Rattus norvegicus: one gene and its partner. The protein of the gene in region 2 interacts with the protein of the main gene of each other region in a pairwise test. Links are inferred from orthologs where the notes say so. Each region holds a gene or a part of one and is shown on either strand. Other genes may lie near its edges.

What was found. The genes of interacting proteins can lie anywhere in the genome.
Region 1: the proteins of Pom121 (region 2) and Tex11 interact in binary tests that used the Homo sapiens proteins (3 or more experiments, as listed by UniProt). The two-hybrid records come from large-scale screens. The link is inferred for Rattus norvegicus from reciprocal best matches to the Homo sapiens genes POM121 and TEX11.

Annotation. Positions count from the first base shown.
Region 1 is NC_086039.1:70,232,299-70,239,765, reverse strand, and holds the start of Tex11 (testis-expressed protein 11), read left to right. Parts: upstream 1-3,221; 5' UTR 3,222-3,931; intron 3,932-4,027; 5' UTR 4,028-4,049; coding exon 4,050-4,089; intron 4,090-7,467. UniProt on the Homo sapiens protein: Regulator of crossing-over during meiosis. Involved in initiation and/or maintenance of chromosome synapsis and formation of crossovers.
Region 2 is NC_086030.1:26,922,235-26,929,601, forward strand, and holds part of Pom121 (nuclear envelope pore membrane protein POM 121), read left to right. Parts: intron 1-341; coding exon 342-415; intron 416-691; coding exon 692-816; intron 817-920; coding exon 921-1,023; intron 1,024-1,479; coding exon 1,480-1,653; intron 1,654-2,294; coding exon 2,295-3,908; intron 3,909-6,032; coding exon 6,033-6,155; intron 6,156-6,628; coding exon 6,629-6,726; 3' UTR 6,727-7,367. UniProt on the Homo sapiens protein: Essential component of the nuclear pore complex (NPC). The repeat-containing domain may be involved in anchoring components of the pore complex to the pore membrane. When overexpressed in cells induces the formation of cytoplasmic annulate lamellae (AL).

The DNA of each region.
Region 1 (7,467 bases), on a different chromosome or scaffold from region 2:
TAGAACCATTTGAAGGTTGATGGGTGTCTTAGGGTCTCCTTGTTGTAAAGAGACACCATGACCAAGGCAAATCTTGGGGCTGGCTTACTGTTTCAGAGGTTCAGACCATTACCATCAAGGCAGGAACATGGCAGCATCCAGGTAGGCATGGTGCAGGAGGAGTTGAGAGTTCTGCATCTTGTTCCAAAGGGAACTAGGAGAAGACTGTCTTCCAGGAAGCTAGGAGATCTCAGAGCCCATCCCCACAGTGGCACACTTCCTCCAATAAGGCCACACCTCATAATAGTGCCACTTCCCATGGGCCAAGCATATTCTAACCACCACAATGGGATTTATAAACTTGCTGTGAGTCTGAAGGACAGGCAATGGGTAGTTTTAGATTCGACAGGAGATACTGGAGATGTAGGTCAGAGGGTAGGGTGCTGGCATAATGGACCTGGATTACATTAAAGTCAGATTCAAAACATCAGATTTGATATGAGCAGGAGCAACAGAGGCATGCCTTGGAACTGCAGATTTACAAATTAAATTGTTATTTGTATTTATGTATGTGAGTTTTTTTGCCTGTATGTATGGGCACTATGTGGGTACAATGCCTGTGGAGGCCAGAATATGGTCTCTGATCCCCTGGAACAGGGGTTACAGATGGAGGTGAGTTACCTGAGTCTGTGGAGAGTAGCCGATGCTCTTAAACTCTTGGGCAAAACTATCCTGGAACTAAATTTTTTTCCAGTCTTTTCAAATTCTTTTTTTTTTTTTTGGTTCTTTTTTTTCGGAGCTGGGAACCGAACCCAAGGCCTTGCGCTTCCTGGGCAAGCGCTCTACCACTGAGCTAAATCCCCAACCCCATCTTTTCAAATTCATGCTTTAAAGAATAAAATAAAATAGCTAGACAGTGGGTTGGGGATTTAGCTCAGTGGTAGAGCGTTTGCCTAACAAGCGCAAGGCCTTGGGTTCGGTCCCCAGCTCCGAAAAAAAATAATAGCTAGATAGTGGTGGCACATCCCTTTGAATTTGAGGCAAGCCTGGTCCACAGAGTGAGTTTCAGGATATTCAAAGCCACACAGAGAAAACCCGTCTCTATAAACCAAAACCAAAACCAAACCAAACCAAACCAAACCAAACCAAACCAAACCAAACCAAACTAAAAAACACAACACAACAAAACAAAACAAAAACCAAAAAACCAAAAAACCCCAAAGACCTATTGGTTTTCTGGTTTTCACACTCAGAGGCTACCCACCTCAGTGGTTTATGTTCCCGAATGGAAGATACACACACACACACACACACACACACACACACACACACACACCCCACTACCACCACCACCACAGTCACACACACACACACACACACACACACACACACACCACTACCACCACCACCACAGTCACACACACACACACACACACCACTACCACCACCACCACAGTCACACACACACACACACACACCACTACCACCACCACCACAGTCACACACACACACACACCACTACCACCACCACCACAGTCACACACACACACACACACACCACTACCACCACCACCACAGTCACACACACACACACACACACACCACTACCACCACCACCACAGTCACACACACACACACACACACACCACTACCACCACCACCACAGTCACACACACACACACACACACACACACACACCACTACCACCACCACCACAGTCTCACACACACACACACACACACACCACTACCACCACCACCACACTCACATACACACACACACACACCACTACCACCACCATCACAGTCACACACACACACACACACACACACACACAGAGCCTTTTAACATGCCTTAAGCAGCACGATAGCTGGGTGACTGCATCTATGCTGCTAGAATCTAGCTCCCGCCGATAATTCCGAGTTACTACTTACTCATTTCTATATTCAGTCTTGGCTGCTCTAACTCCAATTAGTCAGCCGTCTGGGTCACGTTTTTCTTGGCCCAGAGCCGGGGTGTTCTCCTTGCCTTTCTACTCCATGGCAGACTCTGTCCTCTCGTCACACTCTTCTAAAGTATGGTGGATCTCTTTTCTTCTCCTCCCAGTCTCAAGCTGGGGGAATCCTAGAATCCCGCCTCTGTCTGTCCTTCCCAGCTACTGGCTTCTGGCATGTTTATTTACCAATCAGAACCAGCTCCGGACAGGTTCCCAGAAGCTATGTGTAGACCCTCTAGTGAAAACAGTTTTTTGGGGGAACATAATTAGGATTCGCAAAATAAGGGTTCATGATTCACTGAAGGATGATACCCAGACTCAAATAGTATGTAAATGCTCTTATCCTGCAGAAGTCCAGCATGCTGGAGTCTCCCATTACCAAGATAGAAAGACCCAGAAGTAAGCTCACAGGCCTGATTTAAAGCACGTTAGGGGAATTCTGGGATAGGAGCCTGTCATGGAATCAGCCTACCCATCTCAGTAATACAAGCAGTTACATCGGTGCTGATCTCTGGTCTTGTCTTGGGTTTCTGTTACCCTCTGTGGTTCTTAGGAGAGCGTGGTGGTTCTGTGTTGCCTCATAGGGAAGTCCACGGTGATTCCAGGCAAAACGTTTTTTCTAGGTGCTGACATTTAGGGAAAGGGATGGGTAGGAGGGCAGGGTGAAGCTGTCCGCAGGATGAAAGCTTGGTTTTCCATGGGGATCTGTTTAGTCCCTTGGGAAGGGGGAGGGAGGTAGAGAGTAAGGAGAGACAGCGGCAGGTGGGTCTGCTACGAACTGGGGATGAGACTCTACGAACTGGGGATGAGACTTGGGGATTGGGACTCAGGCATGGAGGGAGATATGAAGGTCTGCGGTTAGCCTCCCTGCCTCGAGTGCACAATTTCTTCTTTTTCCGAATTTTGACACTATTTATTTATTTCTTTGCTGGGGTTTTACTATGCTTCCCAGGCGATCTAGAATGCCTTGACTCAAGGGATTCTCTTGCTTTAGCCTCTGACTGGTGACACTAGTAGCCTGTGCTACTGTGCTGGGATACCTTGCCAGTTTGAAACACTGAGTAGCTCTGTGTACACTGTTTTTGTAGCGTGTGTATGAGTGAATTCTTGTTCTTGTTTTTCTATAATCCTGGCCATCTGTCCTTCCTTTGAATGGTAGTCCACTTCTGTTCTTACGTCTAGACCTTGTCCTGATAAGTCTCGTTCTGGTTTCATCCAGTGTAGAGAATTTAGACAGGATTCCAAGGCAGAGAATCAATATATCGTAAAGGACAATTGGGAGTGGTTTTTGATGATGTAATAGAGGGGAAGGAGCTTTGCTCTCCTGAGGAGCGTGTGAGGCACATTTAAAGGCTGTAGTTTCAGCGGGCGAGAGGTTTAGTGGATAGGAAGTGGTCCAGTCTTTTCTTTCATCTTGTTTATTACGTGTGTTTATGTATATATGTGTGTATTATCGAACTCAGGGCCCCGCATCTGCAGCCCAGGGTTTAGAACTACCAAGAAGAAACAGACATTTGACAATACTTCTTAGAGATGCTCTGAGGTAATATCTTCAGAACGAGAGGTTTGTGGGTAGGGGAAGGAGGGCTAAGCAGCGCCAATTCAGCTCAGCGACCGTTAGTGGAAGGCCACGTAGAGCGGGAAAAAGGCGCCAAAAAACGCAGCCAAGAGCGAGGGGGCCGATGGGATATGCACGAGAGTGTTTGAACACCGAAACAGACCAATCACAAAGTATGACTCAATCTATTTGCATAAAGAGGGCGGGGCAGTGTGTGCGGGACAGACCAATCACAGAACATGACTAGCTGTGACAGAGCCCTGAACCTCGCCTTCCGGCCTTGGGCCGTTGGGCCGCCAGAGACGAGCAAGCTTTTCGGTTGCGGGACAGCAGAAACCTCTCTCCTTAACAACGTTTCTCCTGGATTTTCAGCTTCCTCAACTTCCCTGTACTTTTAGGTAATATGTAATGGGCATAGTTGTCTGGAAAAAAGTGTCTTTTTAAGAAATTAGAGAATAAAGGGTGGAGTATTAAAATATTTTCTTGTTCAATAGGCTGGATCCGGACATTTAATACATGGATGGCATTGCTGACCTTAGCATCATGGACTTTAAAGGTAACCAAGCTTTGCATGGTAACAGTTATTTTATGGCTGACTGAAATTCTCAATCGTGGTTGCTGCATCAGCTGCTCTTTTGGATTTTAGGTGTTGTTCCTTCACGGAATCCATGTCTGAATCGTCCAGACAATTTTTAGGTGCCACATCCACCCAGTCCTGGTGGTATTTTGTCTCTTAGCCTTGGCACTCCAGTTATTCTTTCTCTTGAGCTTGGCAGGGTAGCCACATTTGCCACAGACCAACTTCTGAAAGTGGTAGTTCTTAGAGCCACAGCGGCCGGTGGTACAATGTGTGTGGTACAATGTGTGCATCTTATTGGGACGCTTTCCAGACGACGGTGTTCTTTTGTCATGTTGCTTCTACCTCCAAGGCCAAAGAGGCCAGAAGAGCCCCTCTCTCTGACTCAGAACTTTATGTAGCTCAGGCTATCCTCAAATTCGCAATCTTCCTAGGTCAGCTTCCAGAGTGCAGGTGTCAAACACCGCACCTGACATATACTCCCAACATTTGTAACACTGAGGCTGGAGAAATACCTCAAATATTGTTTCACAAAGCAAAACAAAAAGAAAACAAGCTGGGAGGTAGCTCCGAGGCAGTGTTTGCCTTCCACATGTGAAGCCCTGGGTTGGGGGTCCAGCACTTCAGAGGTACACATGCAGGTTTGTCTCTTAAGTTTCTTTTCAGAGTATTCAGTGCTCCAGTTTTTCTCATTTATGTACCAGAAATAATATTTGGAACTTTTTATGAACTAGTGTAAGGAAACAAAATTCACAATCCACAGCTTATTTTCTGGTCATAATCTATAGCTTTTCCCAGGTATTTTAGGAGATGCAGAATTATACTGTTTAACCTGAAAAGTACTATGTTAAAAGTACATTTAAAAAGTTGTTGCAAGCAGATGGGCATGTAATACTATAAATTTATTCTTGGAGACCATGTGGCTGGTTCACATTTTATCTTGTCCTAATAGTAAGGCCTACATAAGGGCAGTTAGCTTGCCTCTAGGGCAGGGGTTTGAAGGAGTACATTGGCTTCTGTAGTATCAAGACAACTCAGCACGGTATGTTCTGCTTGTAAAAATGATTTTTTCAGAAAACTGCTGTCATCCACAAGCCATTCAACATCAGGGCGATAAAAAAGTTTATCTTTAAGAAATTTAAAATTTATTTATTGTTTTAAAAAATCACTGTAAGGGCAGGTGAGATGGCTTAGCCAGTAAAGATGCTTGCCCCCAAGGCTGATGACCTGAGTTGATCACTGAGACCCATATGGTGGAAGGAGAGAAGCAGATCTGGACGATTGTCTTCTGTCCTCTATACTGGTGACATGTTATGTGCATGTGTGTGGTAAGCGCGCGCGCGCACACGCGCGCGCGCGCACACGCGCGCGCGCGCACACACACACACACAAGTAATTCCTGCAAGATAGGAGGCTAGTTTGAGGCAGTATAATGACACCATGCCTCGAGTAAGCAAACAGCATTGCCACGCTTCACATAACACCTTTTCCTATGGTTAATTTGGAGACAAATTCTTATTTTCCTTTCTTTGGATTTTTAGCTTCTTCAGTTTGTTGTTATATAAATGCCCTTGTAACTTATTTTAATATCCGAGTTTAGATTTTCTTTTACTGATATATTTATGATTGTTTATTCCATAAAGTCTTCAGAAAATAGAGCTGGGTGTGTAATCTCAGCACCCAGAGGCTAACACAGGAGGATTGTGAGTTTAAGGGTATCCTGAACTACGTAGTGAATTTGAGGCCCACTTAGCATATATAATGAAACTGCCAAAAATGTATAAAAAATCTTGAATATAGTTGTAGTCAATACCAGCCCTGTCTAGTAGAAATTAATGAGCTACATATTTAATTTAAAATATTCTAGTAGACACATTAGACTGCATAAGGAATTAGATGAAATTAATTTTTTAAAAAAGATTCATTTATTTTTATTTTATATGCAAGGGTATTTTGACTGCATGTCTGTCTGTGCACCGCCTGTGTGCCTGATGTCTGCAGTGGTCAGAAGAAGGTGTCAGGTTTTCTGCAACAGATGGTTAATCCCAGCACTTGGGTGGCAGAGGCAGGCAGATCTCTGTGAGGCTAGCCCAGTCTATATCGAAAGTCCTGGGCTAGCCAAAGCTACACACTGAGAGACCCTGTTTCAAAAACAAGCAAACAGCACCACCCCCACTGCTGCTATGGTTTTATTTTTTTCCGGATATTTAGATGCCGTTGAAGTGGAGTTCCCTTGATACTACTCAAGGCTTTGTTCTTAATGATGGTGGTACTGGGCAAGTTAACTTCTTTATGCATATTTCAGTCAATTGTAAAATTAGAGTGTGTTAAAACTTGGTTGATTGAAAGATGTGTATCAATATATACCATGTTTGAAAATATAAACTCCTTAAGGGAGGGAAGTATGTCTTGGTAGATATTGTTAAACATTTATTGAAGGAATTTATCAAAACCTAATAACTTGTGTGTCTCATTCATATTGAATACAAAGATGGTAGCAGTATTACCAGTTATGTTCTTAATTATTAAATTGATCGTGATTAGTTTGTGTGTGTGTTAAAGATTAAACCCAGGGCTTCAGGCATGCTAATCATATACTCTGCCAATGAGCCTCTGGCCCCTTAGAAAATCTTGATTATGATTTTTGTTGCTGATTTGAAAATTCACATGAGAATTTTTCTTTTGTTTTTCTGTTATCATGAAAATACCATAATGCATAATTGTCTGTGAGATTTTATTTACCAATTCTCTAAATAACTAGTAAATTCTGTTAGGAATGGAAAGGTAAAAATACCTTATGTGGAGACTTAATTATGTATCTTTTGATTTTATTAACCTTTTTTTTTTTGGTTCTTTTTTTCGGAACTGGGGACCGAACCCAGGGCCTTGCGCTCCCTAGGCAAGCGCTCTACCACTGAGCTAAATCCCCAACCCCTTAACCTTTTGACGGATCTTTTTTGTAAGCAACCCCCTCCACTGTTCAAGTTCTTTATATAAAATTTCAGAGTTTGTATAATATATGCATGTCCTATACATTTTATTTTTCTTGTTTGTAGTTTTTTAAATAATAGAACATAGGGTCTCTTTGTGTAGCCCTGGCTGTCCTGAAACTCACTCTGTAGACCAGGCTAGCCTCGGATTCACAGAGATCTGCCTGCCTCTGCCTCCAGAGTACTGGGATTAAAGGCATGGGCCACAACTGCCAGACTTGTTTCATATCATCAGTACATAGATGATTTTATGTATCTATAAAGTCTAAGGCCCATTACTGACAGGAAACGTGTCTAGTTTTGTTTTTGTTTTTTTGAGACAAGATCTCTTTTTGTAGCCCTGACTGTCCTGGAACTCACTCTGTAG
Region 2 (7,367 bases):
CACCCAGCCTTTTTTTATTTTGTATGTCTGTCTGTCTGTCTTGGGCCTGCTTCCTCACCAGTTCCTCCTTGTTCCTGGCACTAACCTACCGTTAGAGCCTGAAGATGTAGTCTGGGACCCTGGACTTGGCAGGCTTTGAGTAAAGCTTTGCAGATCCCTGTTCTGTATTTGATTAAAGGCTGGTTGTTCATGGCCTCTGTCAACTCATAGTGATATGCTGACACCTAGAGCTGTGGTTTTTCTAGACTTTGCCTGTGTAGGAATGTGCAAGTGTGTGTGGGGGGTGCCATGCAGCCTCCAGGCCTTCCCAAGTAAACCCTAGCTTTTCACAATCTCCACAGAGAGGAGGAACCATGTCACCAGTCCAGTTCTTCAGCTCCCTTGGTGACAGACAAGGAGTCCCCAGGAGAAAAGGGTAAGTAGAGAAGCCATGGGAGCCGAGAGTGGCATCTCCAGTGGAAGTTAGCCACTGTGAGGCTTGGAAGATAGTTGTAGCCCTTTGGAGGTCCAGCATAGGAAGAGTGTCCACTGCAGAATATGAGGACTGCCAGGCCATGAGCTCAGGGTTGGGCTCTGAGGAGTGGGGTCACAGCTGTTCCGGAAGCAGTCAGAAACAACACTAACACAGAAAACAATCTCTTCCAAACTGTCTTGACCTTACTAGGGAGGCCAGCAACCCTTGTTTCTGTAGTTACAGATCCAGCCACGGGGAAGCAGCAGAGCCTGTGGACTTCCCCACCCACACCTGGCAGCTCCGGGCAACGCAAACGCAAGATTCAGCTGCTGCCCTCCCGGCGAGGGGACCAGCTCACCTTGGTATGTCTTATCGATCCCTCTCAGCTCTTTTAGTCTTAGGGAGTCTGGGGCAGGTTTCCACAGCTTCTGGGGTTGGTCTAACCTGTCTCTGTTTGCTTGGGCAGCCTCCACCCCCTGAGCTTGGCTATTCCATCACTGCTGAAGACCTGGACATGGAGAGGAGAGCCTCACTGCAGTGGTTTAACAAGGTCTTGGAGGATAAGACGGGTAAGACTGTGGAGCTCAGCATGCTCTGTGTGTGTTTCAGCTTTCCTGGGGAGAGAAGTTGTAGAATACTTGATTTTTCCATTTAGTTCTGAGTCTCATCTTCCAAGACTGCCTTCAGAGTCATAATACTGCTGCTTCAGCCTCCAAAGTGCAGGGTTTCAGATGTGTGCCATCACAACCAGCTCTTGGGTCTTTGTCCCCACTTGTTCTACCAGGGGCCTTATTACCAGGAGCTGTCACCAATACTTTCCCATGGGAAATGGGAGTTTTGAATTGTGTGTGAAAATAGAGTTACTGTGTAACTGCTTAGTCTCCCATTCATAGTCCTCTTGCCTGCACTCCCGTGTGCTGGAACACAGGCCGTGTGCCACCAGTGAGGTTAGGGAAGCATTTCTGGACAGGTGTTTCTGAATCTGGAAGGAGGTCCGATGTAAAAAGCTTACCTTTCTTCTGCAGATGATGCCTCTACCCCAGCCACTGACACCTCCCCAGCCACCAGCCCTCCCTTCACACTCACCCTGCCTACCGTGGGGCCTGCTGCCTCACCAGCCTCCCTCCCAGCTCCCAGCTCTAACCCACTGTTGGAGAGTTTGAAGAAGATGCAGGAGTCTCCAGCCCCATCCTCCTCAGGTAAGCAGAGCAGTGTGCCCTGGAATTACAGGCTTTTGATATGACGGGAGTGTGTAGCCTGTCAGTTCAGGGCTTCAGAATGCCCTGGTCTGGAAATACACAGGGAGGCGGGCTGTAATACTGGGTTCATGGTTGAAAGGCAGCTAGCTGCCCTAGCTGTCCTGAGTGTGTCTTCTCTGCATTGAGAACGCTGTCTTCTTTGGGAGGTATGAACAGTGTGAGGCATCTATAGCTTTCTGGACCCCAAACCTAGAGTAACTGAAACTGGGACTAGTGAGCCTTACCAGCTAATGCCTTCATGGCCCACACTTGAACACGCTGTGTAGTTGACTTCTCACACTAGAGTGCAGGCGTGCTGATGTAGCTCTCGGGGCTGGCCAGACACTCTTTGCTGGGTTGGTAAACATGATGGGCCTTTGTCCCATGTAGACAGGGAAGTTGCAGAGCTGCAGGAATAGCATTTTCCTTCATGACCACACATGGAGCCCTAGGCTCCCCTGCTTTCCCTTCTGTCTTTGCTGGAATCTGTGGGGGTACAAATGTCTTGAGTCGTGGTGTGGTGGTGGTTGCTGGAGGGTGCAGGCGTGTTGAGTGCCACTCTCAGACTTCCTCAGGACTCACTTCACTTCTTCTCTTCCCAGAACCTCCTGAGGCAGCAACAGTTGCGGCCCCTTCACCTCCGAAGACACCTAGCCTCCTGGCCCCTCTTGTCTCACCACTGACAGGGCCCCTAGCCAGCACCTCCTCAGACTCCAAACCTACAACCACCTTCCTGGGGCTGGCTTCTGCTTCATCCGCCACACCACTCACTGACACCAAGGCCCCTGGAGTCTCTCAGGCCCAGCTGTGTGTCAGCACCCCAGCCGCCACAGCTCCCTCCCCAACTCCAGCCAGCACGCTGTTCGGGATGCTGAGTCCACCTGCCAGCTCCTCTTCCCTTGCCACTCCTGGCCCAGCTTGCGCTTCTCCCATGTTTAAGCCCATTTTCCCGGCCACACCTAAGAGTGAGAGTGATAATCCCTTGCCAACTAGCTCCTCAGCCGCCACGACAACTCCAGCCAGCACCGCCCTCCCCACAACAGCAACCGCCACAGCTCACACTTTCAAGCCCATTTTTGAGAGCGTGGAGCCATTTGCAGCCATGCCCCTGTCACCTCCCTTCTCCCTGAAGCAGACAACTGCTCCGGCCACCACTGCAGCCACATCAGCTCCTCTCCTCACTGGCCTGGGCACTGCCACTTCCACAGTGGCCACTGGCACCACAGCTTCTGCCTCCAAGCCTGTGTTTGGCTTTGGAGTGACCACTGCAGCGAGCACTGCCAGTACCATAGCTTCCACCTCCCAGTCACTTCTGTTTGGGGGAGCCCCGCCTGTTACTGCTTCCAGTTCCGCCCCAGCCCTGGCCTCCATCTTCCAATTTGGCAAGCCCCTTGCCCCAGCAGCGTCTGTGGCGGGCACCTCCTTTAGCCAGTCCCTTGCCAGCTCTGCCCAGACTGCTGCCAGCAATAGTAGTGGGGGCTTCAGTGGTTTTGGTGGGACCCTCACCACCTCCACCTCTGCCCCTGCCACCACCAGCCAGCCCACTCTGACCTTCAGCAACACTGTCACCCCCACCTTCAACATTCCCTTTAGCGCCAGTGCCAAGCCTGCGCTCCCAACCTACCCCGGAGCCAACTCACAGCCCACATTTGGAGCCACTGATGGGGCCACCAAGCCGGCACTTGCCCCAAGTTTTGGCAGCTCTTTCACTTTTGGCAACTCTGTGGCCTCAGCCCCGTCGGCAGCCCCAGCACCAGCCGCCTTTGGTGGTGCTGCACAGCCAGCTTTCGGAGGGTTGAAAGCCTCAGCCTCCACCTTCGGCACCCCTGCCAGCACTCAGCCGGCTTTCGGTAGCACCACTTCCGTGTTCTCCTTTGGTTCAGCCACCACATCTGGCTTTGGTGCTGCTGCCGCCACCACACAGACCACCCACAGTGGGAGCAGCAGCTCTCTGTTTGGCAGCTCTACTCCATCCCCATTCACATTCGGTGGCTCAGCAGCTCCTGCTGGTGGTGGAGGCTTTGGGCTTAGTGCTACACCAGGTACCGGCTCCACCTCTGGAACTTTTAGCTTTGGATCTGGACAGAGCGGGACCACGGGCACCACCACCTCCTTTGGGGGAAGTCTGAGTCAGAACACCCTGGGCGCACCTAGCCAGAGCTCACCGTTCGCCTTCAGTGTGGGCAGTACACCTGAAAGCAAGCCTGTGTTTGGAGGTAAGATCCACAACCCTGTTAGGGGTTAGTGCACCATAGTCGTCTGCATTGTTAGAGGCCAACTAGCAATCCAAACTAGAGATGATGGGAGCCCTGTGCAGTGAAGAAAGGTTTCTGGAGGCTTGGAGAGGTGGCTGGTCTTAGGTCTTTGGCTGTATGTCTGTCTGTTTACCACATGTGTGCTGGTGCCCGCCCCCAGCAGCTACAAGAGGGCGTTAGATCCCTGGGACCTGTGAGCTGCCATGTGGGTGCTGGAAATTGAATCTAGGTCTCTGAAACCATTGAGCTATCGCTCCAGCCTCCATTAGAAAACCAAAATCAATGCCTTTGAAGAAGTAATGAATGGAAGGAAAAATGTTTGGTTTATGTGCTTGGTGTTAACCTGTGCGTACAGTCATTCCTAGCTTTATCTTGTATGGTTACTTGTGCTTGTACAGGAAGCACTTTTAACTCACCAAGCCATCTCCCCAGCTGCTGTAATTTATAGTGTGTATGTATGCACGTGCATGCGTATACATGTACATGCACATTACCATGGTGTACAGATAGAGGTCAGAGTGTAACTTTATGGAGTAGGTTATCTTTCCCTTTCCTTAAATTCTGAGACTAAAACTCGGGTTGCCCGACTTGTGCTGCAAGTGCTTTCCCTCTGAGCCATCGCACTGGCTTCTGTTTGCTTTGTGTGTGTGTGTGTGTGTGTGTGTGTGTGTGTGTGTGTGTGTGTGTTTGATACTGCTTCCTAGTGTAACCCAGGTTGCCCTCTAATTCAAGATCTTCATACTTCCCAAAGCTCCAGTGATGGGCACACACCCGCTGCAGGCTGCAGGGGAGGGTAGCCTCACGGCATAGAGGCAGAAGCAGGAATGGTGGATTCATGTGCAGAGAATAGGCAAGATTGGCTGGAGGTTGCAAGGCTGGCAGAGTTCAGGGTTGGTCATAGTCAGGATTCATTGCCTGGATTTTAAATGTCCAGGGAAGTCACAGCAGAATTTCAAGCCTAAGGGTGAAGAGGTCGTACAGCAGTGTGCAGAGTGAGTTTTGGTCCTAAGAGCTGCTGACTTCTTCAGTAAATAGAAGCGCTTAGTGAAGTGAGGAAGATGGACCAGGGCAGGAGGCAGGTCTGTTGAGTGAGTTGTCAGGAACATGAGAAAGGGGATGTAAGGGAAGACAGTGGAAGGCTTGCTCACATAGCTTGCAGAGGTTCAAGCAGCCTCTGGAATAAGGAGGTGGATGTGGCTGGGGAGATAGCTCAGTAGTCAAACTGCCTGATGCTTGCAGTTGAGGATCTGAGTTCAGTCTCCTGTGCTAAAGCGTGCTGAGGCCGTGGGAACCTGTAAATCCCAATGCTGGGTGTGTGGAGGTTGGCAGATCCTCTAAACTCACCGTCCCTCTAGCCACCATAGCCAGCTCCAGGCCAGTGAGAGACTCAGAGACACCCAGTGTCAACCTCTGGCTTCTGTACACTCCCATAGATGAGTACTGCTCTGGTGCAGATACACACAACAGATAACACTCAGAGTTCGTGTGTGTGTCATTAGCACTAAAAGATCATGAATCTTGCTCACTTAAGAATGGGGAGGGGGAGGGATCAGGATCCTTGTTGCGGGGAGGGTGGTGATTGACAGGTGACCTTCCAAAGGACCACCACTGTTAGTTAGAGCCTGGTGACCTGAACCACAGGAATTGGCCTGGGTGTGGTATTGCATGTCCGTCATCCCAGCACCTAGTCTTGGGCAGGAGGTTGGAGAGTTGAAAGCCAACGTGGGCTACATAGCAGAAAACCCAGTCTCAAAAAAGCAAAACAAAGAAATTGGGAGTTTGAGATAGAAGGGGAGAGAAGTGGTCTGGAGTCAGCGTCAGAGCAAGACAGCCCTGAGACAACTACACACAGGCAGAGCAGGGGCCATTCCCATAGGGCATGCTGAGAAGAAGAGGGACCCTCCAAGATGAGTGAGGGGAAGGGGCAGGGAACAAGGGAGAAGAGGCAGGGAGGGCTAACCTGACAGCCCCACATCTCACTGCAGTTGTATAATGGAGGGGTGGCAGAGACTGGTTTCATCAGGCCTGGAGCTGGGGGTTAGTGTGATAACAGTCTGGTCTCTAACTCTTCTGTCTCCCCTTTAGGCACATCCACACCTACTTTTGGGCAGAGTGCCCCTGCCCCAGGAGTCGGCACCACAGGCAGCAGCCTCTCATTTGGGGCCCCTTCAACACCTGCCCAAGGCTTTGTTGGAGTTGGACCTTTCGGTAAGTCACCAGTCTGTTGTCAGCATGGCATCCTTGTCCCTTGAGTGGGGAGTGATTAGGAATATAGCAGGTTGCTGGCCCTCGGGGTTCAGGGAAGTCGAACAGCAAAAGTTGAGTCTTCTCAGGAAGCTCAAGTATTTGAGGAGCCAAGTGCTGGTGTTTTATTTATTTCTGTGTGCATTTGTGTTTTCCTGCATATTATCTGTCTGTGTGAGGGTGTCAGAGTCCCTGGAACTGGACAGTTGTGAGCTGCTATGTTGGTGCTGGGAATTGAACTCAGGACCTCTGGAAGCAGCAGCCAGTGCTCTTAACCACCGAGCCATCTCTCCAGCTAAGAGCTGTGAGGGCTCCCCGTGACTTCAGAAGCCCTAGTGAAACACTTAGGTTTCTGCTATTGACCGACTTCCCAGATCAGGGCACCAGCACATTCTCCGTGGCGGCAGCTGCCCTGATAGTCTTGTTACCTCTTCCAGGATCAGGAGCCCCTTCCTTTTCCATTGGCGCGGGATCCAAGACCCCAGGGGCTCGACAGCGACTTCAGGCCCGAAGGCAGCACACCCGCAAGAAGTAGCCTGCCTGCCTGCCTGCCTGCACCCCCACCCCTGCCTGGACCTGGACCTCAGCACCTGCTAGGAAGAGCCTCTGACCCTGCAAATCCCATAGCAAACCCAGCCGTCACCAGGGTGGAAGTCTGGCCCTTTCTGTTCTAGAGGAAGCGAGTGCCCCGGGGAGGGGCAGTTTACTTGAACAGTCACACTGGTTAGGCTGGAGAACTGAAAAAAAACATCTGTACATATTGTCCTCTTGCTGCCCCAGCGCTTGTTTAGTGTATAACCTAGGCAGCCCCCCTCTCCTTGGGCACCATTCTGCTGGCACCCACTTGGATCCCTAATACATGAGGTGGGATTGGGGGAAACGGAATGTCCCTAGCTTTGCCTGCTTGGCTTGGCCATGAGTGGTTCTCTTCCTCTGATCCCCTCAGGGTCTCTCCCTATTTCTTGCTGCTTTGTCCTTCACCGGTCCTCTGTGAGATTCATTCCTTTTAAATGGCGGTGAATCTTGCTTTGCCTTGGAGACCCCAGTGGGCGCTGTTTTGCCTCTTCTGTCAAGTCTGTTTAGTCTCCAGCCCTCTGCTAACCCAGCCTCTCAAAAGGTTGGTGGCTCAAGACTGTTAGCCTGGCAGAGCCAGGGAGAAGTCTGCTCCAGGAGGTC